Oryctolagus cuniculus: one gene and its partners. The protein of the gene in region 1 interacts with the protein of each later gene in a pairwise test. Links are inferred from orthologs where the notes say so. Each region holds a gene or a part of one and is shown in the gene's direction. Other genes may lie near its edges. The genes, in order: UBQLN1, HK2, HSD17B12, RASSF5, retrotransposon Gag-like protein 8C, TMCO6 and TRIM23.

What was found.
Region 2: the proteins of UBQLN1 (region 1) and HK2 interact in binary tests that used the Homo sapiens proteins (3 or more experiments, as listed by UniProt). The two-hybrid records come from large-scale screens. The link is inferred for Oryctolagus cuniculus from reciprocal best matches to the Homo sapiens genes UBQLN1 and HK2.
Region 3: the proteins of UBQLN1 (region 1) and HSD17B12 interact in binary tests that used the Homo sapiens proteins (3 or more experiments, as listed by UniProt). The link is inferred for Oryctolagus cuniculus from reciprocal best matches to the Homo sapiens genes UBQLN1 and HSD17B12.
Region 4: the proteins of UBQLN1 (region 1) and RASSF5 interact in a two-hybrid assay, tested with the Homo sapiens proteins (3 studies listed by BioGRID and IntAct). The link is inferred for Oryctolagus cuniculus from reciprocal best matches to the Homo sapiens genes UBQLN1 and RASSF5.
Region 5: the proteins of UBQLN1 (region 1) and retrotransposon Gag-like protein 8C interact in binary tests that used the Homo sapiens proteins (3 or more experiments, as listed by UniProt). The link is inferred for Oryctolagus cuniculus from reciprocal best matches to the Homo sapiens genes UBQLN1 and RTL8C.
Region 6: the proteins of UBQLN1 (region 1) and TMCO6 interact in binary tests that used the Homo sapiens proteins (3 or more experiments, as listed by UniProt). The two-hybrid records come from large-scale screens. The link is inferred for Oryctolagus cuniculus from reciprocal best matches to the Homo sapiens genes UBQLN1 and TMCO6.
Region 7: the proteins of UBQLN1 (region 1) and TRIM23 interact in binary tests that used the Homo sapiens proteins (3 or more experiments, as listed by UniProt). The link is inferred for Oryctolagus cuniculus from reciprocal best matches to the Homo sapiens genes UBQLN1 and TRIM23.

What each region holds. Positions count from the first base shown.
Region 1 is NC_091432.1:134,606,580-134,610,079, reverse strand, and holds part of UBQLN1 (ubiquilin-1), read left to right. Parts: intron 1-505; coding exon 506-589; intron 590-1,761; coding exon 1,762-1,877; intron 1,878-2,396; coding exon 2,397-2,565; intron 2,566-3,500. UniProt on the Homo sapiens protein: Plays an important role in the regulation of different protein degradation mechanisms and pathways including ubiquitin-proteasome system (UPS), autophagy and endoplasmic reticulum-associated protein degradation (ERAD) pathway.
Region 2 is NC_091433.1:128,134,813-128,138,938, reverse strand, and holds the start of HK2 (hexokinase-2), read left to right. Parts: upstream 1-1,326; 5' UTR 1,327-1,825; coding exon 1,826-1,888; intron 1,889-4,126. UniProt on the Homo sapiens protein: Catalyzes the phosphorylation of hexose, such as D-glucose and D-fructose, to hexose 6-phosphate (D-glucose 6-phosphate and D-fructose 6-phosphate, respectively).
Region 3 is NC_091432.1:21,810,879-21,814,378, reverse strand, and holds part of HSD17B12 (very-long-chain 3-oxoacyl-CoA reductase), read left to right. Parts: intron 1-108; coding exon 109-190; intron 191-2,385; coding exon 2,386-2,451; intron 2,452-3,500. UniProt on the Homo sapiens protein: Catalyzes the second of the four reactions of the long-chain fatty acids elongation cycle. This endoplasmic reticulum-bound enzymatic process, allows the addition of two carbons to the chain of long- and very long-chain fatty acids/VLCFAs per cycle.
Region 4 is NC_091444.1:21,700,463-21,704,580, forward strand, and holds the start of RASSF5 (ras association domain-containing protein 5), read left to right. Parts: upstream 1-1,318; 5' UTR 1,319-1,373; coding exon 1,374-1,830; intron 1,831-4,118. UniProt on the Homo sapiens protein: Potential tumor suppressor. Seems to be involved in lymphocyte adhesion by linking RAP1A activation upon T-cell receptor or chemokine stimulation to integrin activation.
Region 5 is NC_091453.1:112,807,297-112,810,457, reverse strand, and holds retrotransposon Gag-like protein 8C, read left to right. Parts: upstream 1-1,406; 5' UTR 1,407-1,493; coding exon 1,494-1,835; 3' UTR 1,836-2,661; downstream 2,662-3,161.
Region 6 is NC_091437.1:28,268,506-28,272,619, forward strand, and holds the start of TMCO6 (transmembrane and coiled-coil domain-containing protein 6), read left to right. Parts: upstream 1-1,314; 5' UTR 1,315-1,400; coding exon 1,401-1,485; intron 1,486-1,611; coding exon 1,612-1,724; intron 1,725-2,682; coding exon 2,683-2,798; intron 2,799-2,902; coding exon 2,903-3,086; intron 3,087-3,296; coding exon 3,297-3,401; intron 3,402-3,563; coding exon 3,564-3,649; intron 3,650-3,858; coding exon 3,859-3,975; intron 3,976-4,114.
Region 7 is NC_091445.1:86,572,744-86,577,038, reverse strand, and holds the start of TRIM23 (E3 ubiquitin-protein ligase TRIM23), read left to right. Parts: upstream 1-1,495; 5' UTR 1,496-1,708; coding exon 1,709-1,789; exon of another isoform or gene 1,790-2,221; coding exon of another isoform or gene 2,222-2,290; intron 2,291-4,295. Other genes in the region: TRAPPC13 (trafficking protein particle complex subunit 13), read right to left, coding at 963-1,008.

The sequences.
Region 1 (3,500 bases):
TTTTGTGGTATTATTTTTCTGGACCAAATATAGCTGTTTTGTAGGAGGCAGATAGATATAGTGGTTCCAGATCTGAATTTTTCTCTGTACTGGCCTCTTACGTGTGGAGGTTTCTGAGCAAGTTTCCTGTATTGATGTTTATGTTTATCCTGTCAGTGTAGCAGAACATGTTTCCTCGTGAAGCCAGTCACTCCCAATTTTCTTTCAAGGGCAAAAATTCACCTTTGCTCAAGGAAAAGTCTAAAATACGATTACTTTTATTTGTAGGGTATTGCATGTCATTATCATAATCGCCATTCTCATTGAGAGAAGATGTCGTGGTTTTGTTTTTTCCTGGAGATCTCTCTTGTGGATAATATTTTCCCTTTTCCTTTTTAATTTAGTTTCTACCTTCCTCCCTTTTAAGTGCCAGCTTGGGCACTTGTGGGAAGATAGAATATTAAACAAGGTACATTACTTGTTTCCGATATTTCCAGTTAAAATTGTTTGAACACTTGCCCCATAGATGATGCTGAATAATCCCCTATTTGCTGGAAATCCTCAGCTTCAAGAACAAATGAGACAACAGCTCCCAACTTTCCTTCAACAAGTGAGTAAGAAAAGATGCCAGCTGTCTTCAGTAATGATTTGCTTGAAACTTTGATGCTGACCACTTTCCTCGATCTTCTCTGGCTGATGGCAGAACAGAGACTGGAATAGGATATCCTGTCAGTTTGTAGAGAACTCAGCTTGATCTAACTGAACCCCATTTCACTGCTGATCTTTGACTCCTCTTTCTTAAACATAAATTCTGAGGGAAGAACCATTTTATTTTTTCTTTTGAGGACTTGGGATTTTGAATGCTTTGTTAATACCATACCATTTCCTTTCTCTTTACTAACATTGACGTGCTTCCTTCATGTTACGCTTTATGGTTTAACTAATCTCAAGTAACAGGAAAGAGCTACCCAGTCTTACTTTGCAAGGTTTGGTTTCTTTGTAATGTTTTAATTTTTCTCAAACTAGTAGAATGCCTGCCTTCCAAGGGGTAGATCTCAGTTCCTCAGATTTGGAGTTAGTAAAAGTGTTAGTGTCGTCAAATAAGGAAGATTCTATTTTTTAAAAAAGTACTTGAGATTGCCATGATATTTTATTATTTAAAAAAGATAAAAGAGGCATCGATCTTGGTATTTTGAAACTGGTAGCTCTAGGGCTTTATAGATTATGCAGATAATTCCCAGGCCTGTGAACCATTGTCCAAGGTTAGTTAGTGTCCTTGATCTATGGAAATGGTGTAAGTCTTCCTTTTTTGGTCAGTCAGGTGGTGTATATTTGGAAGCAGTGAGGCTAAACTCAGGACATCTGTATTAACTTCAGATTTGGAACTATTGTTTCAGAGTGTACATTAGTTGTAAACTTGTTACAGGTAACACTTGCTCAGGAGGAATGTGTGGCTTTCACAGTACTACCATGTGTATAACTTGTGTAGTTGGAGGTGTCTCTTGGAAATAATATTTGTAATCTCCTGTTGGAGCATGCGAGGAGTGGCGGCTTCCAGAGTGTCCACCATTATGGGAATGGCTTTGCTGATGGACTTGGGGAGGTCAGGTAGTGATTTGCTGTAAAAGAGGAAATGCTTGTTATTTTGGGAAAGAAACTAATGGATAACCAGTGTCCAGGAGTGAGGTTTTAGATTTTCTCTGAAAACACAAGTAAAGATATAAGAATTTACCTTCACTGATTTTAATTCCCTTGTAACCCTCGATTTTCTTTTTCCTTTAGATGCAGAATCCTGATACACTGTCAGCAATGTCAAACCCTAGAGCAATGCAGGCCTTGTTACAGATTCAGCAGGGTTTACAGACATTAGCAACAGAAGCCCCTGGCCTCATTCCGGGGTAAGTTTATTTGAGGAAGATTATGAAAGTGTATAATGGTTAACTTTCTCTGAGAATTTCAGGGTTAATATCATTCTGCCTTTTTTGGTTGTGATTATTTTTAGTTTTTTTTTTTTTTTTTTTAAGATGTATTTATTTGAAAGGCAGAGCCAAAGAGAGAGAGATTCTGCTGATTCATTCCCCAAATAGCTGCAATAGCCAGGGCAGGGCCAGGCTGTAGCCAGGAGCCAGGAGATTCTTCCCAGTCTCCCACATGAGTGGCAGGATTCCAAGCACTTGGGCCATCTTCTGCTTTTCCCAGGCCATTAGCAGGCAGCTGTATTGGAAGTGGGGCAGCTGGGACTTGAACCAGCACTCATATGGTGGCAGCTTAACACACTGCGCCACAGTGCAAGTTCCCAAATCAGAGTTTTCAGAATTACAAGTGTTTATTAAGAAGATAATTCAGTTAATAGTATGTTAAAACGTAACTGATTGACTCCTGTCCTCTAGTTTATGACCTGTTTGTTCTTCCTCTAGGTTTACTCCTGGCCTGGGGGCCTTGGGAAACACTGGAGGCTCTTCAGGAACCAATGGATCTAACACTACAGCCAGTGAGAACACAAGCCCCACAACAGGGACCACCGAACCTGGCCACCAACAGTTTATTCAACAGATGCTGCAGGCTCTTGCTGGAGTAAATCCTCAGGTAATAACTCTTTTCTGTTTATGGATAGTATTCTTTCATTTCATAAATTTCCAGAAAGAGAAAAAAGGGGGAAAGCACAGTCCTTAAGTGTATAGAGACTAATGAGAGGCACAGATTTAAAAGATACTGAGACTAGGGGCTAGTGTCTGCGTGAAAGACTGGCATCCCATTTGAGTGCCTGTTCAAGTCCCTGCTGTTCTATTTCTTTCTTTTATCTTTTTTTTTTTTTAATATTTATTTATTTGAAAGAGTTACACAGAGAGAAGGAGAGACGGAAAAAGAAAGGTCTTCCATCATTGGTTCACTCCCCAATTGGCCGCAGTGGTTGGAGCTGTGGCAATCCAAAGCCAGGAGCCAGGAGCTTCTTCTGGGTCTCCCATGCGGGTGCGGAGACCCAAGGACTTGGGGGCCATCTTCCACTGCTTTCCCAGGCCACAGCAGAGAGCAGGATCGGAAAAGAAGCAGCTGGGTCTCAAACTGACACAAATGGGATGCTAGCACTGTAGGCCGTGGCTTTACCTGCTACGCCACAGTGCCTGCCCCTCTACTTTCTACTTCAAATCCAATATGCTAATATGGGAAAGCAGCAAAAGGTGACCCGAATACGTGGGCCCCTGCCTCCCATGTTGGAGCCCAGGATGAAGTTTAGGCCATTTGGGGAATAAACCAACAGATGGGAGATCTCTTCCATCTCTCCATCTCTCTCTCTAACTCTGCCTTTCAAATAAATCTTTTAAAAAATACATTGGGGGCCAGCATTGTGGCATAGTGAGGTGAGCCACTGCCTGTGACACCAGCATCCCAATGGGCACCACTTCAGGGCCCAGCTGCTCCACTTCCCATCCAGCGCCCTGCTAATGGTCTGGGAAAGAGCGGGAGATGGCCCAGGTGCTTGGGCCCCTGCACCCATGTGGGAGCCCCAGATGAAGCTCCAG
Region 2 (4,126 bases), on another chromosome or scaffold:
GCACAAAGTCAGGACAAGGCACTGGCTCTGGCTGAGTCACCGGCGGCTTGGGTAGGAGAGAAGTCGCACACATGCTCTGTTTTACAGGTTGAATCGACTGCTTGCTGAGGGACTGACTGGCTGTGAGGGTGGAGCCATAGGAACCCAGTATGACTTAGGGTGCATGGTGTTGCCGTTTGCTGGGACAACCAGGAAAGGAAAAGATGTGGAGAGAAAGTTCAGTGGGACTTTGGGCATGTTACGCGTCAGGTGCTCACCGCTTAGGTGGTGATGACAAATGGCAGCTGGAGAAGGAAGTCTCCAGACCTCTAGGAGAGGTCCTCGCTGTCGATTTACTCTTGTGAGTCATCAGCGGCATGTAGATGATATAACAGTCATGGGGCCGGGAGGGATGGTGCAGGGAGACAGTGTAACTAGATTAGGCAGCCCTGGAACCCTCCAGCGTTTACCCACTGAGAAACAGGGGCTAAGGAGCCTAGCCAGAAACCAGCACGGCGGAGCGTCCCGGACTCTGCCTGGGTGAGGACCGTGGATCCAGATGCGGGTGACCAACTGTTCCCAGCATCCCTGAGAGGGGAAGACAGACAGGCAATGAACACTTACTACTTGTCTGACAAGATCTGTACACGCCGCAGAGAGCACCGCACTGTGGGAGAGGGACTCTCTTCTGTACGGCAGGCAGCTGATTTTCTCTCCGTTGCGGGGGCCCGCCGCGACCCAGCGTTGTCATCCTCTCACCCCAAGCTCACGTCTGCTGCCGTCAGTGTTTCATTCCTGCCAGCCTCCATGTCCCTCTACACACCCACACCCACACCCACTCGGGGTCTCCAAAGGCACAGGCGGTGGGCCGACTTTGGTAATGCCAAGCATAGCATAAGCACCAGCTACTAGGGCTCACTTGGCAGGTTGAGCCACGATGGATGAGAACCTGGATGCTCCAGACATGTGAGCGCGCGGTAGGGGCCTCTCACAGGGTCCCGAGAATCCAGAAGACCGCCCTCTCTCTGTACAAGGGCGTGTGCTGGCCCGGTGACCTGTCTTTCCAGTCGTCTCACATCGCGGGTCCGCGATCACGCGCCCCCCCACCCAGAGGCGCGCCTGACGCGGCGGTGGCTCATGCGCCTTTCGGTCCCAGCCTCCTGCCACGGAACACACGTCCCATCTCGGGCGCCCAGCCCCGCCCCGCCCCGCGCCCCGGGCGCGCCTCCCCAGAAGGCCGGCTCGGGTGTCTGAGCGGCCGCGCCCGCGGGCCGTGCGTGCTGATTGGCTGTGCCGGGGCGGCGGGCGGCCTGCGGGCGCACACACCCTCTCCGCGCAGCCAATAGACGCGTGCGCGTCACTGGCCGGGCGGCCCGCGAGCCGGCAGCCCCCTTCAATAAGCCACATTGTTGCACGAAACTCCAGCAGGAGTCCCGGGCCGCCGCGGGCAACGCCGTGTCACTCAGCTAGAAAGATCTGCGGGCGGGAGCATCGCGCGTGTTTGTCTAAGAGGTCTGATCGTCCCAGTGGAGCCGGGCTGCGATTCTTTCCATGTTGAGCCCTAGGGCCCTGTGGCTGAAGTTAGCGCCTTGACGTAGGGCAGCCGGACACGTTGCCTGGGAGTGAGACTTAGCCGCCTTTACCAGTTTTAACTCCAGAAAACCCTGTTTCCAGAGAGCCGGGGCCCCCCAGCCAGGCGCGCCATCGCCGTTAGCGTTCTTAGTGGACTCCCTGCGTTCCGTCGGGCCGCCGAGCCTAGGTACAAAGCGGTCGGACCGCCCGCCAGCCTCCCCCGCAAGCGCTCGCGCCCCGGTTTCCCAAGTCGGCGCCGTCTGGCCGCGGCAGGATGATTGCCTCGCATCTGCTCGCCTACTTCTTCACGGAGCTCAACCATGATCAGGTGCAGAAGGTAAGTCAGCAGAGCGAAGCGGCCGGTTCGCTTCTGACAAAGTTGCGCGGTCTCCGGGACCTCCTCCTTGGCCCTGACGGGATCCGCTTCCTCTCCATTCAGAGCCAGGTTCGCAGAAAAAGTCCGGGCTGCTGATGAAACTCCTGGGCTGGAGCAGCCACGTCCGCCGGGCGCTGGCAGGCGAGCGCGCGCGTGCGAGGCACGGGGGCTCGCGGCCATCCTGCGCGCGCTCGCGCGGCCGCCCCTACCTCTTTTTTTTTTTTTTTTTTTTTTTTGTTTCTAGAGCGGCGGGTCACCCGGCACGTAGTCAGGGACTACTGCGCCCACGTGGTAGGACCCCCCTTCTGCGGCCGAGTTCCGGCGAGAACACGTGGTGAACAATCGTGCCCGGGGGAGGAGGCTCCGTGGCCGCGTGGGGCTCCATACGCGGGAAGGAGGCGCGCGGCCCCCGTCCCCAGTTGTCCCGGGGCCCTGCGGAGGTGGACTTCGGGGAACCTGCCCGGGAAGGAGCAGGAAAGCGAGCGGAGGAACTCCGCCCGCCGCGCCCCCTCCCCGGAACTGAGGCGGCCGGAACTGAGGCTCGGCCAGGGGCTCGCATCGCCCGCCCCCAGCTCGGCCTCGTGTCCCCCGGGCCCGCCTCCGAGTGGGGGCGGGGTCTGGATGTTACTTTCGGGTTTGCCCTTAAAAAAGTTCCTCGGAGGGGACCAACCTTACTCTCCCCCCTTCCCAGAGTCCTTAAGATTTCGGCCCTTCCGAAAGCGAGCTTTCTCCTGCCCTGGGCCAGGGCCTGCCGTGCCCACCTCGCTCGTAGCAGCTCCCGAAGCCGATCCCTCTCCCGCGCCGGGCCATTTACATAAGAAAGGAACCTGGGGCCCGGCGGGGAGCCTCTCCCAGGGGTGCGGGGCCGTGCCCGGGGCGCTTTCCCTCTGGGGTGAATCGAGGCTCTGCATTGCAGATTAAGGGATTGGCTCCTGGCCTGAGGCTTGGCTAGGATTTGAGGGAGGGGATGGGCTGCGGAGGACGTGTGTTTCAGAGCGGTGAGGCAATGGACCGTGCGTTGCTCCATTGCACACTTGAAATTTCAGTACCGGAATGCAGATGTCTAGACACTCTGGTTGTGCAGGACGACCTGCTGGTCTCCCCACTCTGCTGATGCCGGAGCCCTGGCGCGCAAGTCGCGGACTGGAGGAGGAGCAGGGGGCGGCGGGTACAGCGGAGCTTTTCCCCGTCCGTGAACGGCTGTTACCCTCGAGCTCGCTCCCGGGATGTGGCTCCGCGCGTTCGTTCAGTGTGTCTGGAAGCGAGTCTGGGGGATGGCAGGACGCTGGCGCCCCCCCTGGGCTTCGCTCCCCAAGTTAATTCTTAGGGGAAGTCTGTCGACTCTTGGCAGGTCCTAAAGTACAAAGTGGAGGGTCGCTAATCCCAGGGTGGGCTTCTCGGGCGGGTGTGACTGACGCTCCAGAGCGTTTGAGTTCTTTTACAAGCCTACTCTTTGCTAGAATTGTGGGTTGAGACCGCCTCGCGGGTGTCCTGGAATGGGGTCTTCTCCGTGGTCCCAGAATTAGCCGAGGTATCTGGGAATGGGTTCCGATCCCTGACTTGTGATTTATTAACCAGCCGACCCCGACCTCCTTGGGCTACTCATTTCTTTTCGTAAAACGCAGGTGCTAGCAGTCTTGTCCCCTTTGTGGGGTTGTGATCGTTACCCACAGCCGCCTGAAAATGCCTTTCCTGTAGGCTTCTGATCGCGCCACTTACCGTCACCTTGCAGCCTTTACGCGCGGGGAGGGTGTATTTTCTCTAAGTTACCACTGGGGGCAGAATTGAGGCGGGCCTTTTACTCACCAGGTGGCCCGCGCTGGGATGCAGGCACCGGTTCAGGTGAGCAGAGCTGTTTGATTCTATCTGCAATCAGATAGGAAGTGGGAAGACAGAGTATGTGGGAAACATCCTTGTGGGCTGCCGCTGGACGGAGGCATTGGGAGAGGAGATTGAGGGTCGAGTTTACTTTTCGTCTTTGGGAAGGCCTTGACGTGAACTCTTCTGAAATCTCCTTGGGACGACATCGTCTTGCATATTGTGCAGTCTGAGGGCACGGAAGTGCTTGGGGCCACCTGCCCAGAACTAGCCCCATCGGGAACACTTTTCTCCCAGTGTTTCATGGATGAGAGTCAAGGTGGTTTGCTGTCTTTTGCCAGTTTATGCTTCGGAACTCAAGAGCAAACACAGAGTGTCTTC
Region 3 (3,500 bases), about 110 Mb from region 1:
AAAAATCTGTGTTACTCTGCTTCAAATAATTATATATCTCAGTCTGCAGTTCTCAGACCGTTGTGTATATGATTACACTGTGATGACTTGGTACATTTTCCTTTTTAGATCTAAAGGTGCAATTCTGAACATCTCCTCTGCCAGTGGCACGTTCCCAGTTCCACTGCTGACCATCTACTCTGCAACCAAGGTGAACAGCGTTTTAGGGGAGGAGTGGGTGTAAGAGTGAGCAATACTTTCTAAGCTGAGAGATTAAAGTTTCCTGAAGGTCAAATCTTGGCAGTTTTCCAATGGAATGCAACAAAACGGAAACTACCCAATGCAAGGTTCAGGAGAGCCAGAGCTAGTGTGACACCCGGGTATGAGATCCACACAGGCCTTTGTTCCTTCCGGTAGTTTACTGATTTTAAAGGTGACACTTGTCCTTTCATGGAGAGCTGGCCTAGACCAGTGATTAGAACATGATGTTAATGAGTAGAAGATTCTGAATTTGGTAGATGAATGAGTCAACTGCACACAATTTGGAAGAAGTCAACACATACATGTACATACTAGGCACAGGATAGCGTTGAGTGAGAGAATGACTGTTTTGTCCCATTATCCAGAATTTACTGGTAACTCCTTGTTACTTCTGGGATGTGAGAATTTTCCAGAGTTCTCTGTAAGAGCCATAATTTCACACAGCATTACCGTTCACCTCTTCACATTACTTCTAGGAAAATAATTTCGAGTGCATTTCCTGCTGCCTGCAGGTCAATAGCCTCATCTTCAGATACATTGTTGAGGCAAGGACTCCATCTCTAAAGGGAAAATGACTGCTCAGACCTTAACATTGAACAAGCTTTTCAGGAAAAGTGAGCTTAATATATTATACAGTAAGAACTTGTAATATGTCATCAAAAGACAGGAACAAAACATTGGCCTTCTTTTTCACTTGATAAAATTCATATCATCATGGCTGTCTTTTGGGAAAGCTTGGCACCACCCTGGAATCCCTGCCATTAACTTGATTTCAGTAACCCTGGAGCGTAATGCCAGGTTTCCTGAAGGGATTGGTGACCCCAATTTCTTTCCTGTCTCCACGAACAGAGAATTACTACTAATTGGGACTCTTGCAGAGTCTTTTTTTAAAAGATTTATTTATTTATTTATTTATTTATTTATTTATTTATTTATTTTTGACAGGCAGAGTGGACAGTGAGAGAGAGAGACAGAGAGAAAGGTCTTCCTTTGCTGTTGGTTCACCCTCCAATGGCTGCCACGGCCGGCGTACCGCGCTGATCTGATGGCAGGAACCAGGTACTTCTCCTGGTCTCCCATGGGGTGCAGGGCCCAAGCACTTGGGCCATCCTCCACTGCACTCCCTGGCCACAGCAGAGAGCTGGCCTGGAAGAGGGGCAACCGGGACAGAATCCGGCGCCCCGACCGGGACTAGAACCCGGTGTGCCGGCGCCACTAGGCGGAGGATTAGCCTAGTGAGCCACGGCGCTGGCTATTTATTTGTAAGGCAGAGTTACAGAGAGGCAGAGGGAAAGAGAGAGAGGTCTTCCATGTACTGATTCACTCCCTAGATTGCCACAATGGCCAGAGTTGGGCGGATCTGAAGCCAGGAGCCTGGAGCTTCTGGGTCTCCCTTGCTGGTGCAAGGGCCAAAGGACTTTGGCCATCTTCTTCTTCTTTCCCAGGCCTTAGCAGAGAGCTGGTTCAGAAGTAAAGCAGCTGGGACTTGAACCAGCTCCCATTTGGGATGCCAGCACTGCAGGTGACGGCTTTACCCATTAGGCCACAGCACTGGCCTCCAGAGTCATTATTGATACTTTGCATTTCAAGCTCAAGATTAAGTCCATATTTTCCCCCAAAAAATGGCTTTTTACAAATGGATTTCAGGTTGTACCATGATCAGAAGAGGTGCTGTCACATTCAGCTCTGCTCTTGTTGGCTCTTTCCATCCTAGAGCTGCAAGAGGATGCTTGCTCTTTTCTTTGTAGCAACAGCAAAGTCCCCACAGAACTGAGTTAGACAGAATTCATATTTTGTTTCCATTTGAGTGGCAAGTAGAAAGAAGAAATGCATGCTTTGATTTATAATATAAAAATATTTTTCTTGGAAAATAATTTTCTGGGGGAAAATAAGGATAAGAAGAGCTTTTTCCAATTAAAATTTGTTCTGCGTAGTATTTGGTAAGATAATACTTCATTTAGTGGCAAGCAAAAACAACTTGAGCTGTTGGTGTTTTTTTAAGGTGTAGTCTGCTTTTGAAATGAAAAAGAATGATTAGAAATGATAGTGTTAACTGGTTAGTTTGTTATTTTTTGTTTCTATGGCTACAAGTCAGGCACATTGATGTAATCTGTGTGTTTTCTTCTCCCTCCCACTGCCTCCCAGGCTTTTGTAGATTTCTTCTCTCAGTGCCTCCATGAGGAATACAGGAGCAAGGGCATCTTTGTGCAGGTGAGTGCAGTTTGCTTCTGTTAAGTATCCCTGTTTTTGTGTGGTTTCCACAGCAACTGTTGCTGTCTTGGCAACAAAAGAAAATCACACTCCTGAGTTAGTGGATGTGACGTTAGCATACTGTTAGACATGGTTTCTCTCTCTCTCTCTCTCTCTCTCTCTCTCTCTCTCTCTCAAGATTTATTTATTTGAAAGTCACAGTTACAGAGAGCGAAGGAAAGACAGAGGGAGAGATCTTCCATCCTATGGTTCACTCCCCAAATGGCTACAACGGCTGGGCCAGGCCGAAGCCAAGAGCCAGGAGCTTCTTCCAGGTCTCCCATATGGGTGGCAGGAGCCCACAGACTTGGGCCATCTTCTGCTGCTTTTCCCAGGCTGTCAGCAGGGAGCTGAATCGGAAGTGGAGCAGCAAGTATTTGAACTGGCTCCCATATGGTTTGCCAGCACTATAGGCAGTGGCTTAACTTGCTGTACGACAGCATGGGCCCCAGTTTCTATTTCATTTACATATATAAGTCTGGATTTTTAAAAACTGCCCCCTAGAATTTTTTTAAGCAGGGATCCCTAAAGTAGAACTAAATGGAGTGTAAGCAGTTGAATCCTAATTATTATAAGTTCTTACTACTTTATGTTGAGATAATTAGACTATTCATAGTCTCTTCTTTTTAAAAATTGTGGAGAAATACATATAGCATTTTCATCATTTTTAATTGTGCAGTGCACTGGCATGAAGCACATTCACACTGTTGTGTAGTCATTAATGTCATCCATCTGTAGAACATGTTCCATTTTCCAGATTAGAAACTCTATGCATTAAACACTACCTCTTCATTTGCCCCTCCCCTCAGGACTGGGTAGTTTCTACCTCTATAAATTTGGCTACTCTTAGTTCCTCATATGAATGGAATTGTACAGTATTTGACCTTTTGTAACTGTCTTCACTTAGTATAATGTCTTCAAAGTTCATCCCTGGTGATAAGTCAGAATTCCCTTCCTTTTAAAGTGCTGATTAATATTCCGTTGCATGTGTGGATTGCATTTGGTTTGTT
Region 4 (4,118 bases), on another chromosome or scaffold:
GGAGGCCATAGCTGAGAGCGGGATTGGAAGTGGAGCAGCTGGGACTCAAACCGGCACCCATATGGATGCTGCAGACCAGGGCTTTAACCCGCTGCCCCCACAGCTGGGATTCTAACTGGCGCTGCAGATAACCCGCTGTGTGACAACGCTGTGTCCTGGTGACCTGTTCTAAACCAACCAACCAATCCGAACCCGTGCTTTAGCAGGAAGCGGCTAGTATGCAGGAGCATCTACCTGTCTCCCCAGCTTCAGCCCAATCTACGGTCAGAACAAACAGGGCTGGAGGGCTCTCAGGACATGGGTGGTCCCTGACAGGATCCTGGGAGGCATTAAAGATCCAGGAGTCCAGGCTGTGCCCGTCTGCACTCCCAGGAGAAGGGGCTGTCTCCATGGGCAAGGGTGCTGCACCCTTGCAGGAAGAAAGTGCCCCGTCCTTTGTTCAAACTTTCAATCTCTCAAGCTGGAGAGAGCAGGGCATCAGCCCAGGCAGCAGGCCCTCTGGACTGGATCGATCTCTCTCTCTCTCTCTCTCTCCTTCACCCGGCGAGCCGTCGGTGCCAGGTACAAATCGGGGCGCTTCCGGCCGAGATTCCCACAGCGCTCACTCGAGCCCTCGAGGAGAGAGAAGGGCCCCCCCACAAAGAAAAGTTCCCCCACCCCTGGGCACCCCAGCGTTCTCCCAATCCAGGGCCTTCCGGGAAAAGGAGTGTCCAGCAGGGCAGGGCATCTGAGGACGGGGAAACCCGACCAGAGGGGAAGTCGCCCTGCCCGCCGCCTTCCAGCCGGCGGCTGAGCGCGCGTCCCCCCGCGTCACGGGACTCCGCGCGGCTGCGGGGCGCGAGCGGGTATCCCCGAGGGGCATCCCCCAGGGGGCGGCGACTAGGGTGGGAGGGTAGAGGAGCGCGGCCCTTCCCGTGGGGCGCGGACGCCGGGAACGAGGCGGGCTGGCCCTCGGGCGGCGCAGCCCTCCTTGGACCCCATCCCCAGCCGGTGCCCGAGCCGTGCGCCCCTGAGCCCAGTGGGTGCTAGTGGTGTCGGGAGTGGGTCTGGTGCGGGAGAAGCGACTGGATAGAGTGGGAGCCAGGGCCTCAGGTAGAGGCGCCTCCAAAAACGCGCCTTCTGGGTTGCTCGTTACAGAGCTCTCATGCGCGGACCCTCGGCAACCGCCGGCAGCCCCCCACACTCGCCCAGCCGCCAGCCCTGCCCTCCGTCCGGCAGCCGTCCCCTCGGGTCGCCCTTCCTGCCTCTCTGAAATCGCCCCGCCCCTGCTCCGCCCCCGCGGGCTGCGGTCCCTTTAAAGGCGCGTTCGTCTGGGGCCGCCTCTTCTCTCAGGGCTGGCTTGGGAGTAGCGCAGCCGCCGCCACTAGCCCGGCATGGCCATGGCGTCCTCGGCCATCGGGCAGCGCCCCTACCCGCTGCTCTTGGACCCCGAACCGCCGCGCTATCTGCAGAGCCTGAGTGGCCACGAGCCTTCGCCGCCGCCCCCCGGCCGTTCCTCGCGCCGCTGCGTCCCGGCGCCCCTCTCCACTGCGCCCGTGGCGCACGAGGGGCGCGGCGGCCGCAGGGCTGCGCGGGGGGACCCAGAGCCCCAGTCCCGGGCCTCGCGCCCCGCTCGCCCTCTCCGGCCTGGTTTGCAGCAGAGGCTGCGGCGGCGCCCTGGAGCGCCCCGGCCCCGCGACGTGCGGAGCATCTTCGAGCAGCCGCAGGATCCCCGCGTCCCTGCGGAGCGAGGCGAGGGCCACCGCTTCGCGGAATCGGCGCTGCGAGGCGGCCCCGGCTGGTGTGACCTATGCGGACGCGAGGTGCTGCGGCAGGCGCTGCGTTGCGCTAGTAAGTGCAAGGCAGGGCCGGGGAGGGGCGCGGGAAGACCGCAGTCCTGGGGCGGGGGACTGCAAGGGGGACAGGGGCATTGCCCTCTCTGTCCGCGGGGAAGACCCGACTTTCAGGTAATTCCCGGAAACGCGCACTCCTTAATTCCCTGACTGGGAATGGTTAACGCGGCATTTAACAAACACCTCTCCGCTAACAGGTGCGTGCCTGCGCGCCGACCCCCATGCACAGACGCGCGCGCACACGCAGGTGCGTGCATTTTCCCCCAACCCCGTGGGCGCGCACCACACAGGTGCGAACATCCACCGCCCCCGCCCCGCCCACGCCCCAGGTGCCTGCATCCGCCCCCCTGCCGCCGCGCGCGCGCTTGCTTACACAGCCGCAGGTTGGTTGATGGCCGCAGCCACAAGGTCATTCTGTTCCCTTCTCGCGTTGGTCCCAAGTTCTGGAGAGTTGTTTGTGAGGCTGGTCCTGAGATGCCCATTTGACCCTGGCTTATTGGAGTTGATGGCAAAATGACTTGTTTGACCTGGTTAGGCTCGGGATGCCAGGTGCAGAGCCTGAGGTCACCCTGGACCTGTGCCCCTCCAACCTTTGCACTCTCCGGCAATGTTTGCGCTCCCCTCCTCCCACCCCCTCTTCATGCTCTAAAATTCCCCCACTGGGCACCTCTGGTTGCTGCCTGAGCCAGGCTATCCTCCAAGTTCGCAGAAGTCCAGCAGGTAGATTATCTGAGCACACCCCACCCCACCCCCCCGCCCCGCCTCGGCTAGGTGTGTGTATTCCTTTAACATGGCCCTCTCGTCCACCCCCACCTGCTGCGTTTGCTGTTGCCGCAACCGCAACTGTGGTGGCTGTGTGGTTGTGTGTTGATGGGGAGGTTTTGCCTATCTGCAGCATTAAGCTCAGGCAAGGACACAGCCCCTAACAGGCACCTCTGGCAATGGATTGCCAAGGCCTCCGGTCCCCCAGGCCGAAGCTCCTTCCCGGTCGGGAAAGCCCTGTCTGGCCACCCCTTGCAGTCCACAGCTGAGGCTGTTTGATGTGCTCCGCGCTGCAGCTGCCTGCCGGGATGGCCGAATCAGACTCAAAGCCAGCATCAAGTGGAAGGGAAAATTGGAGGGGGAAAAGGCTGCTGCTCTTTCTCCCACCAGGCTCCCCGTCCAGGTGCTTATTAAAGAGGAAGAGCAGAAGTTAGACAGCCGTCCGTGTGTTGTGGGTGGAAGGGCTGCTGTCCTGTCGCAAATGCCTTTGACCTTACAGCAGAATCAGATGCAACCTGGCCTTGGACATGTGGGCAGCCTTTGCCTTCTCAAGGGTCCTCTACCCACTGGCCCTGTACGCAGGGACAGAGGCTGTGACCTCACTGTCACGGCATTTTGTACTGGGATCCCGGAAGTCTGCCTCACTGGCATCCAGTTTGAGATTTTCCGGAACTGTATTAGTTGTGGAGCATTTTCCATGTATTTTTTTTTTCTTTGAAAGACTTAGGGAGAAACAGGGAGAGAGCTTCCATCTGCTGGTTCACTCCCCAGGTGGCTGCAACAGCCAGCACTGAGCCAGGCCAAAGCCAGGAGTCAGGAGCTTCAGCTGCGCCTCCCATGTGGGTGGCAGGGGGGCTCAAACACTTGGGCCATCCTTCACTGCTTTCCCCGGCCATTAGCAGGGAGCTGGATCAGAAGTGGAGCAGCTGGGATTGGAACAGGCATGGGATGCTGGTGTCACAGGCGGCAGCTTTATCTGCTACCCCACAATGGCAGCACCTGGCACATAGTTTGTGATTTTATGTTTGGTGATAGTGGGTGTGTGTGTGTGTACCAATGTGTTATATGCCATGATGAAAGGAAATTCTTCAATTAGAAGCACCCAGATCTGTGGCCCAACCTCTTTGTGTGTGGCTTGGTAAAGTCTCTTCCCTTGCTGGTCCCCATGGTCCCCCATGTATGAACACCAGGGAGGAAGCAGCCGTGGGATCCAGAGAGGAGTCTCTGTCATCAGTAATCTCACTAATCGTGCACCTGGGAGTGGATGGGACTGGATGAGGGCTGGCAGGCGGAGCCGGCAGGGCGAGTCCACTGAATGTCTTCTTTAAGGTTGATTCCATGGTGGCATCCGTGTGTTTTCATTTGGAAAAGCCAGGATCAGGAGGAAGACGTTCACAAGGCTGAATTGCGCAGTGATTGCGAGTACACACGGGAACCTGAGCCCTGTGTTTGAATCTTGCCGCTGCGTCTCCGTGTGGCCCCTGGCACTCCCACATTCTGCTCCCTTGTTTAAAGAGATGGGGA
Region 5 (3,161 bases), on another chromosome or scaffold:
AATATTCTAGTTTCCCCAGTTTAACTGTGATGTTAGCTGTACGGGATTATTTTTATAGATGCCTTTAATCAGATTTAGGAGTTCCCTTCTACTCCTGGTTGAATGACAGTTCTTTTTTGAATCATGTGACACAGAAATCCTTCTTGTAGGTATTTACCCTAGAGAAGTGAAAATATGCTCATGCAAATATTTTTACATGATTGTTTATAGCTGATTCATTTGTAATTGCCAAAACATGGAAACATGCAGAATGCCCTTCAAAAGGCGGCTAAATTACCAACTGTGGCATGGCCATACTGTAGCAAACGGACTCCAAGTGGCCTCCATCCCATTATGTCGCTCCCTAATTCGCGGAGGAACGACACCAGACCCTGCGCTGTTCTTTTGTCTGCTCGGCCCTTCCCGGGTTTGCTGCCCTTCCAGGTTAGCTGCCGTCCCCCCCCCCCCCCCCCCGCCTCCGCAGAGGGGCGGCACCCCCGCCGCTTTCCCCACTTCCGCGGAGGAGCAGCACACCGCTGGCCAGCTCTCTCAGGGGTTGCTCAGATGTTCCTCGGATGTTGCCCTCTTAATGCCTAAGTGGTTAATGGGGAATGCAATTGGCTTCTAAACAATACAATATGAAAAAGGTGGTGATCTGTTATTGTAATGATTATGTTACATTATACATGACTGCATTTTGCAAGCAGAATCACTGTATCTCTCCTGCAAGCCTTAGAGCTAGCAGCAATGTCGTGAATTGCCTATGGATCAGCAAAATAGGTAACAATTATGGTTAGCATTTATAATAAATTGAGATTTCTTAACATTTAACCTGCCTTATATTAATTGCTCATGGTGCTTTATTATTTTAATATTCTGTCCTGGACGATATTTGCTCACATTGGGGGCCCTCCTGTTGATACTGCAAAACCACCATATCTGCTGCCAGGGAGCCATTTCTTCTCTGGCTGAAAGATACATGAAGAAGCAGTATCCCAGAACTGCATTCTAGGCATCCGGAGCCAAGGGTCTGCCTAGAAATACCCAAGAAAAAGATGAGGGGGGGGACGTGGAGGAGGGCAGCAAGAGGACTCATCAACTTTCAGAACTTGAAATCTGCTGTCGCAGATTAGCGAACTCGCCTTCAACACTCAATCCCAAATCTCCTGGGCTCATCCCCCATCCCCGCTCCGCCTCTGCAGTCCCCCTGGGAAAACTCAGGCCCATCCTTCAATTACGACCCCGCCTCCTTCAGGGTATTTGGCCCGCCCCCTCAACACCCACCCACCCCCGTTCCCACTTTCCCTGCCCTAGCGCGAGACGCATCTGCGGACTAGTGACCATTCAGATTTGCAAGCAAAAGCTACTGAAGTGAATAAGCCCCGCCCTGGCCCTGCCCACCCTGGGCCTAGACCCGCCTCCGTGGAAACGCACTTCCGGGGACGCCTCCTTGCTTGCTGACCTCTGCACAGCCCTGCAGAGCCAGCAAAGCCCAGCAGAGCAAGCAAGGCGAAATGGACGGTCGGGTGCAGCTGATAAAGGCCCTGCTGGCCCTGCCGATCCGGCCGGCGACACGTCGCTGGAGGAACCCGATCCCCTTTCCCGAGACGTTTGACGGCGACACCGACCGGCTGCCGGAGTTCATCGTGCAGACGGGCTCCTACATGTTCGTGGACGAGAAGACGTTCTCCAGCGACGCGCTCAAGGTGACGTTCCTCATCACCCGCCTCACGGGGCCCGCCCTGCAGTGGGTGATCCCCTACATCAAGAAGGACAGTCCCCTCCTCAGTGATTACCGGGGCTTTCTGGCCGAGATGAAGCGCGTCTTTGGCTGGGAGGAGGACGAGGACTTCTAGGCCGCCGGAGCCTCGGGCCCGGGGCCGGCTGCCCTGGGGAGGGTGGGCTGCCCGCCGGCCGCCGCCAGGGTCGCCGCGGGCGGCCCCCGCCGCGCTCGCGCCCGAGTCGAGTCCCGCCGCCCCCCTGCTCCCCGAGTCGCCGCGGCGTCCCCTCGCCCCCGCCCGCCCGCCCGCGTCGTGCTTGCCTTTGTTCCAGGAATAGCGCTCCAGGCTGGCGCTGCTGCCTCTGGGCCTGGCTCTGGACAGCGCCGCCGCCCTGCCCGCTGCCGCCGGCCCGGCCTGTGCCCTGCACCGGGGGCCGCCGTCCGGCCCTCGGGCTGCAGGCTGGGCCCCCGCCGCGCGGCCGACGACCAACCACGCACCGCCGGCCGCCCCCCGCCAGCCCGCATCGCTCTGCCCACGCACCTGCGCTGCCGCCGCCGCCGCCGCCGCCGCCCCCGGCCTCCCGCCGACAGACTGCTCTTCTGAGCCACCTGGACTCCCCTCCGAGGGGTCTGGGCTGGCCGCGGCCCTCGGACCCCGACTCCGACAGCCGGCTGCCCGGCGGGGCCAGCCGGCCTCCCACCATGAGTGAGGCCGCGCCCCCTCCTCCCAGAGACACCTTGAGGGTCTGGGCGCCGAATCGCGCCTGTCATGTCCTCCCGTGGACATGACAGTAGTTCTCCCCGCCCCCCCGAGTCCCGGTTCTTCCGAACGTGCAGCTGTCTCTCTGATGTGTGCCTTGTGTCCCACACTATGACCCTGTGGTCTTCGCGGCTCTTTTACACTACCTGTACAGAAGTCTTTCCATTCTTTCAATAAATGTCAGACCCTGTCCAATAAGAAACTGCGTTCACTGAGTGTGCCACCTTTCCTTGTGTGATCTTGCCAAATCGGTCCATATTTTCTTCAAAACCACATTTGAGACTGCATGGCATAGTTGTAATTCTGCCATCCCATACTGGGGTTCTGGTTGGAACCCCACCTTCTCTTGCCATCCAGCTTCCTGTTCATGTGCTTGGGAACGCAAGAAAAAATGGCCCAAGTGCTTGGGCCTCGCCACCTGTGTGGGAGACTGGGTAGAGTTCCTGGCTCTTGGCTTTCTCCTGGCCCAGCCATTTGAGAAGTGGACCAGCAGATGAAAGTTCTCTCTTTCCCTCTGTCTGCTTTTCTATCACTCTTCCCTTCAAATAAATAAAATAATAAAGAAGTCTTAAAACAAATCCATATGCGCTGACATTCGATGGTTCATATGGCCTTTACATCGAGTCCTCTGGTTGTCCTGGGAATGGAGACCTCACTGGTGACCATTCAATCCCAGCTGCTGAACTCTCTAAACCTGTTAGA
Region 6 (4,114 bases), on another chromosome or scaffold:
GGAAAGAGCTACACGGAACTCTTAAATTCCATTTCCCCTTTAATGGAGGAGGAGCTGCACATCTGGTTCTAAGCCAAACAAGCAGGCCTCAGAACACACTGCCCCCTGGGTGTCCTGTTGGGCATGTCCTGGTATCCTGAGCTATGCCCTGAGGCCAGCCCAGGTTACTGTGGCACCCTGGAGGACCAAGATATGACCATGGCCCGGAAGTCAACAGGCAGATGTGGAATTCCAGCTCTGCCTCTGACATTGCGAGGCTTGGGCAAGTTTCTGGGCTTCCTCCGTGTAAAATGGAGATATTAGTAGCACTTGTCTGTGAGTAAAGCTGCATCTGTTAAGGGGAGCCTTGAGTGTTCTTCTCAGAGCCTCCACATTCAGTGGACTGAGGTCACCGCGGCTCCTCGCCAAAGCGTATCACTCTGGGGGAGGCACTCTGGGCTGGCAGGTCCAAGCCGCTAGGGGAGATGCTGCTTCTGCAAAGATCCCGGATTCACACCTCAATTCAACAAATATATATGAAGGGTCAGGGTTGGGGTGAAGCCCTGGGAAGCAAACGTGACTAAGCCGCAGCTCCTGACGTGCTCCAGGCCGTGGAGGCAAACATGGATCCAGAAATGCAGTCCGCAGACAATAGGACTTTTGCAGAGAGAAACTCACACGGCTTCTGGACAGAGGCAGCCAGCACTGCAGAAGACAGTACATGCCTGGGACTGGCTTTCGCAGGGTTGACAGTATTGCCAGGCAGAAAGAACCTAGCCTTCTCGGTGACAGGCCGCTTGCGGAGCTTTCCCTTTCCCAGAACTTTGTAGGGGAGCGACCGCACCACATCAGCGGCTGATGCAACTCCAGCCTCGGTACCGTGTCTGCTCGCTGACCCTCGTCCACAACTTAGCAAGCTGCACATAAATAATGATGCTTTTCTCATTTTTCTCACTCGCAAAATGGGGGTAGACATTCAAGGACGCAGCGCGCGTCAGCTGCTAACGCCGGGCGCCGGCGGGGAGCCGCGTTATTCGCGAAATGGCATCGCGGCTCGTCCCGAAGCGCGTGTTGGGGGTGGGGAGGTTGTGTTTGCTGAGTGGACGGCGACAATGCCTGCCTGCGGCGGCCGGGTTCGCGGATGAGTTACTTTCATTCCCAGAACCGGTAAGGAGAGAAATCCGAAGCGTAGGGCTGGAAATTGAGACTCCTGCTCCCATGCGGGCTCCCGCAGGATCTCTCAGACTCCGGCCCTAGCCCCGCCCCCAACGTAGCCCCGCCCCCGTCGCGATCCGCCCCGCCCCCTCGTGCTCGCCCCGCCTCTCCGCTCGACTCTGCGGCTGCGCAGTTGCTGCTATTTCCTAAGCCGCCAGGCGGAGTCCCAGCCTTGGCGTTCCCTGCAAATATCTCGCAGCTTCGCCATGTGGAGGCGGCGGCAGGGCCGTCTCAGGCCGGTGGTCTGCGGGGTGGAGGAATTACGTTGCCGCCGGCGGGAGCGGGAGGCAGGTGCGGGCGGGCGAAGGAGCACAGGGGATGTGGCGGTCGGATAGGGTGAGGGGACTCCCGGCTCAGAGCAGCGGGCTCTGGGGCCTGGGCGTCCCTCCCACGCGCAGCCCGTTCTTTTGCCGCCAGAGCTGCGGAAGGCGCGGAGGGAGCAGCAGCTGATCAGCAAGAGGCTGCTGAGAGACGACGTCCCAGAGGAAGCCGGAGAGGGCTGTGCGGCCGCCGTCCTCGGGGAAGCCGAGGTGAGGCTGCGGGGCGGGCGCGCGGTGCAGTCCACGCCCCCTGACGCCAGACTCCTGCCGGTGCCTGAGGTCTGCCCCAGTCCAGAACGCGAGCCGCCTGACGCCTGCATCCGTCCAGTGGGTTAGGACCGAGCCTGTGACTTATCCTACCGCCTTGTCCCTCAGGCTCAGATCAATTCAGGTCCTAGCCATTAGAAGTCTGAAGTCTGGAGGTGGCCTCGCGGTCACAGCTGCCACCGCTCTTTGTGGATACCACAGCAGCCTCCTAAAAGGTCACCTCACATGGATGGCTGCCGCCCCCCATACGTCTTTTAAAAACAAATAGAGACCAAATTCCTGGGTGTGCCCCGCAAAGCCCAGCTTGTTCTAACCTCTGCCACACTCATCCCAGCCCCTTTCAGTAAACCGACCGCTTTCCTGCCTCAGGGCCTTTGCACTTGCCACATCTAAACTCCTTATTTGTCATCGTTGAAAACCCAGGTACCTGCACAGTATCTGGAATACGGCAGATAGTTAGTGCTTACTGACTGAGTAAACGAAAGGGTCTGTTCATTCAGTGAGCACTGGGCATGCCTTGTGTGTGTTGCCTGCATTTGCATGTGTAGTTTACAAACCAGCAGCACCACACGTTGGGATCGGCTGAGGCGTAGGTTTTGCCAGGTTGAGAGGTACAAATGTTTTCTTTGAAGTAACCCACTAAGAATGCAGGGTAGGTGTTGTTATTCCTGCTTTTCAGGTGAGAAAACTGAGGTGCAGGTCCCTGGTGGAGTAAATGGCAGGGCTGGTGTTGGATCCCAGTTCTGATCCTCTCCCTGACTGCTCGCTCCGTGAATTGGCACCTAGCAGCTGTGTTAGTGTCAAGGACAGCTTCCGGGATGGTGTGACACTGGAGGACGTGCAGGTGAAGCGGGCAGAGAGCGACCCAGGACTTGAATTCTCTCCCTGCCCTGCTCTCCAGGTGCAGCAGTTCCTGTGGCTAGCCCAGCGGGGGACAGAGGAGAAGGAGAGAGAGAAGGCTCTGGTCAGCCTCCGTCGAGGCTTGCAGCACCTTGAGACACAGCAAATCTTTATTCGGTCCGTGTGGGTGGTGTGAGTGGATGGCTGGGGCTCTGAGGGGACAGGAAAGGTGGCAGGGATGGACCCCAGGCTGAGCAGGGCTCTGGTGCTCACCCACACAGGCTGGAGGGCAGCATGCGGACCCTAGTCGGGCTGCTGACCGGCAGCCGGGCCCTGTTGCAGCTTGAGGCGGCTCGGTGCCTGCATGAGCTCTCTCACTCGGAGCAGTCCGCGGTGGCCGAGGCCTGCCTGCCGGCCACTTCCTACCTCCTCACCTACCTCTCCGGTCACAGCTCAGACTTCATAGTAAGCCCTGTCCCCTCCTACTTTGTTCTTGGCTTAGATTTAAACATTTTAGGCTTTTGGATCCAGTTTGAGTTGGCATGTGGCGGGGGCTGGGGTGCAGAAGAAAACCTGTTCCTCCCGATTCCCATAGCTGGGCATCCAGCTACTGTCTCCTCACCTTCTCGTAAGCCTCAAAGAGAGGGCTGCTGCACCCTCTGTCCCTCCTCTCAGGAGCTGTGTCTGTATACGCTGGGTAACCTGATCGTGGAAAGTGAGGCTGTGAGAAGGCAACTCCTGCCACAGGGCATCGTTCCGGCCTTGGCCACCTGCATCCAGGTGAGTGCCTTTCTCCCTTGACGACTTTTACTCCTCTCCTCTCCACTTCCCGCTTGCTGTGGTTAGGTAGTTGCAGCCTCTGCCTTTGCCCTGGGGCTGAGAGTTTCGGGAGACCTTATGATCCAGCTTCCAGAGTCAGATCCCTACTCTGTCTGCTTCCAGTCCCCACATGTGGCTGTGCTGGAAGCCCTTGGATACGCCTTGTCGCAGCTTCTGCAGGCTAAGGAAGCTCCAGAGAGGATCATTCCGTAAGTAAAGTTATGTCTCCAGATGTGTAGCCCAGAGTGGCCCACCCAGTAGCCCCTGGATGTCTGATGAAGTCTGACTCCCAGAGTTGCTGCCTGTTTCAGGTCCTTGTGTCTGGCTAGCAAGGGCTTTGGGTATGGGAACTTTCCCACTTGCTGTTAGGGTTTGGCATCTTTGTGGGTCCTGCTCATAGCTCTGCTTCTGCTGGCAGCTCTATCCTGGGTTCCACTCTCCCCCAGCACATGCTGCAGTTGTTGCAACCTGGTCCAAAGCTGAACCTTGGGGTCGCTGTGGAGTTTTCCTGGTGCCTTCACTACCTCATATGCAGGTAACACAGGGCAACTGGGAGAATGCTCGAGACCTTTCCCAGGGCTCCCTTCTGTGACACCTTGGTCTTTGAACTTCAGTTTCAGATATTGCTGTAGTCTGTTTTCATATCCATGTGCTGCTCTCTTTTGCCCACAAGA
Region 7 (4,295 bases), on another chromosome or scaffold:
TGCCGTGAAGTTTTGGGCAAGTCTCCAACATACCAGTACCCAACAGTGACCCCTTGGTATTCCCTAAGAAGCGCCTCCGGCTCACCCTGGGACACCACAATCCCAGCACGCTCAGGTCCCTTATGTAAAATGGTGTCGTATTTGCATACAACATAAGAACACATTCCCCTACACTTTAAATCACGTCTGGATAACTTACAATACGAGAGGGACAGAGGAAGAGCGCCTCCATCTGCTACTTTATTCCCCAAATGTCCCTAACAGGTAGGGCTGGACCAGAGCTGAGGCCAGGACGCCGGACTTCGCCGCGTCTCCCACGTGGGCGGCAGGTACTTTGCAGTACACTGTGGTTATACCGGTTCAGAAAATACTGATAGGAGGAAAAGCTTGCACACCTTCAGCACAGACATAATCTGACTCAAATATTTGCGATCTGCGGTTAAGATTAGGAACCCAATGCGGTGACGGTCAGCCGTACATTTTAACAAATCTACGTTACGCGTGGCAGGGCTATGTATTGCTAAATCCTTCGCACAGTTGCTACGCAGTGCTAACACCCCAGATAAACCTGAAACCTGGTAACTTCCCAGTGCCCACTAAGAGACGAGAGACGGAAGGAAAAGCCATTTCGGATGTTTGCTTTAATGCACCCCGGTTCGCAGAGGTCTCCCCAGTAGGGGCGCGGCCTCGGCTCTGCATCCAAACATCTGGTGACTGCAGCAGCACAGGTCAGGGAGAACGACCAGGTGTCTGTTTCGTTCCAGAAAGCAGCTCTGAAAGCGAAACGCGAAGAGGCCAAGTCGCCTCCTCCTGCTCGCGCCGGACGCAGCGCGGGGCGGCGGGCACCGAGTGTTTTGAGGCCTGGCCCCTGTCACAGAGGTCGCGTCTGTGTGGCAACGGCCTTCGGGAAACTGCGAGAGAAGGGAATAAGACAGAACAACGGTACCTCGGCACACATTTACCTTTCAGCGCCAGCAGGTGCTCCTGTTTGGGGGGATTCACTTCCATTTTGACCGGCACGTCTGACTCCAGGCCTACGGGGGCTGAAGAGGTTCAACTTGGCCCGGAAGGGAAAAAAAGCGTACGTCGGGCAGAACAGGCGTCAAACGTCCTCCCAACAGCTTCTTTGTACCTTAAATTCTCCTTTCACTGCGTCCTTTACGGACCCAACGGCTTCTTTTCACCAAAGCCATCCTTTGGCTCTTGGAGATCTGCACAGAAAATACGGCGTTTTCCGTCTACGATCACACATTGCGACTGGAAGCAACCACTGTAACGATACGCGGCCTCTTAGAGATTAAAAAAAGGGCGAGAACGTGGCATGCCGGGATTTGTAGTGCAAGCAAAAGTCGCGTTGCATGAAGGGAGATGTAGTATCCGCCTTGGCTAGTTTGCCATTAGAGAGCCGAACTCATAACCGGGCCGGGAATTTCACCTTTAAACTTTAATTATGTGTTATCCATTTTTTTCCTTTGACTTTTTTCTTTCAGCAGTTGCAGGCTTCTTAGGAACAAAAACAACACGAGCAGGACTGTGCCTCCAACCCAGCCGAGGCTGACGGGAGGCGGAGCCGCTGACGGGAGGCGGGGCCGCGTCGTACTGGGCCTGTGCGCCAGCGGCGTGCGCGGAGGCCTCTGGGTAGGTGGCTCGACCCCGCCTCCCAGGTGAAGGCTCCGAGGGCTGCTCCTGCGCCGCTGCTCTGCCCGGGATGGCTGCTCTGGTGGTAAACAAGCCTGGAGCTGGGCCGGACAGTGGCCGGCAAGGCAGCCGGGGGACGGCCGTGGTGAAGGTGAGGGACTCTGCGGACTGCGCTCCCCGCTTCGGCCGTCCTCCGGCTCATCCGGGAGACTTGGGCGGCATCCCTGGGGCCCAGGCGCGGCCGCGGCGTCCCTGTGTGCCTGGCAGGCAGGTCTTGGCGTCCCTCCGTCCGCGACCTGGATCCCCGGGCCCGAAGTTGCCGGGTCTAATCCTGCAGATGCCAGCATGCACAGCGGGGACGTTTGTGAGAGGGAGCTGTGGGCCTGTGGGAGTGGCCCGGACCGCTCTTTCTGTAGCCCCTCTATCTTAGTTGAGCCTAGGAGGCGTTAACTCGCTTGGTTTTGTAGAATTGAGCCATTATAGCCTCCAGGTACTGTGTTAGGGGTTTTAGCTGGTTGGCATCTACTCATGAGGTGGATGCTAGCTCTCGTTTTGCAGGAAGGAAACCCAGGTTTCGGTTAACATGGTGTGCGACTTTAACGCCTGCGGCGTCCACTACGGCGCAGCTTCTGTGATTAGACGTCTGTTACTGGTGAGCTGCGCCTTTCCCGCTTAGCCGTACAGCCTGTCGACATGGTTGAGAAGTCTCCAATGGCAGTACAGTTGAATCTTAACTCTGGGGTGCCTGAATGGCCCTATGCTGGAAGGTTGGGATGCTACCATGTATAATGCTCCAAAAATGCACTTACCGAAAAGTCAGTTGAAACACATGGCACTCATTTTCCCTGTGCTCTGAAAATATCGGAGGATTTGACAGAGAGAACTGATCTGAATGGTTCATGCCAACCTTCGGGATTGTCAATGTTATAAGCAATTGGTAATACTATAAGCAATTGGTAATACTATAAGCAATTAGTAATTCTCGTTCCTGACTGCATGTCAGGGTCACCGAGGCCTTTTGTGGAGGAATGGCGCACTTCTGCGGTTATTAGGTTGGCGTTTCTACACATATTTCAGTCCCAGAGTGACTTTGATGTACAACCAGGGCTGAGAATTGTTGAACTAGATAATATCTGAAGTTCTTTTGACCTTTTGCTTATTAGTAGGCACTTATGTTTTCTCACCTAATGTTGGTTTTATATAACAGCAAGTGACACATTTCTGCCCACAACTTAGTCATTATTATTGCTTGTTGATTCAGCTGACCTTTATGTAGTAATTAAGTTATTCTGAATATATAGAGCAGCATATCTGAGATACAGAGGAGCCCTCATTATTAGGCATGTTGTATGGGTGAGATTTTATTTATTGAATTGTGCTTTTGATAAATAGAGAATACCTGAAGATTATTTGTGAATTGACTTGAAGTTTAATTCCATAATTGGAGTATCGTTTACATTTCTGTTACCTTGTTTGCTTTATAATCTGAAAAAAAGTACCAAAATGTGATGCAGAATTTGTTACAGAATTTGATATATTAGAAGCATTTTTAGCATGTTCATTTTTATTTTAACATGTAAAATATTCTGAACTGTGCAATAAGATAGTCCTTTTTGATGAAAGAAGAAATTCATCAGAAAGTGAAAGTTGACATTTATAATGCTAATGCTTTGTAAAATGCTGTCTTGTTTAGTGACCAAGTTGATAATGGCAGGGTTTTTATTGTTAGGAAAAACAAAATCTGATATTGCAAAATTATTTACATTTTAAAATTAATTGCAAAGTTTCTTTTGTTTCCTAAGCTTTCTTATAGTCCTTTTAAAGTATGATCTGGTTTGTTCAAATTCGATTTACATGTAATAAGTTGAAATTTTCTTGTGAAGTATGAAATTTACCACCCCCCATCTAGGATTTAATTTCTTACACTGTTCTCTTCAATAACTGTTCATAGATACTGAGGAAAGACTATCTACTAAGTTGATACCTGAATAATTTTTGGACCTGTGGTTGGCTTACTAAATGGAATTATGCTAATGGTTTTTGAAAAAAAAAAAAAAACCTATAGTAACAACATGAGCAAGTTACCTTGTTTAGTGATGGGTCAGAAGTATAAGTGTGAATGAACTAAGAAAGTTTTTTTTTTTTTTTTTAAAGATTTACTTTATTTGAAAGACAGAGTTACAGAGAGAGGTAGAGCCAGAGAGAGAGAGAGAGGTCTTCCATCTGCTGGTTCACTCCCCAGATGACCACAATGGCCAGAGCTAAGCTGATCTGAAGCCAGGAGCCAGGAGCCTCTTCCAAGTCTCCCACATGGGTGCAGTGCCCCAAGGACTTGGGCCATCTTCTACTGCTTTCCCAGGCCACAGCAGAGAGCTGGATCAGAAGTGGAGCACCTGGGACTCAACCTGGCACCCATATGGATGCTGATGCTGCGGGCCAGGGCTTTAACCTGCTGCGCCACAGTGCCGACCCCAAGCAAAGTTTTAATTTTATTCTTTTGAGGTTATTGTCAGAAATAAATTTAACATGCAGTATTCAATAATGAGAGCATTTATTAAAATCTTAGATTTATTTTATACTGCCTAATTCTATTGTGAATATCTTTTCTGTATTAAATTTGATGAAGTGGAGCTTTTGTCTTCCTTTTTAAAACGATG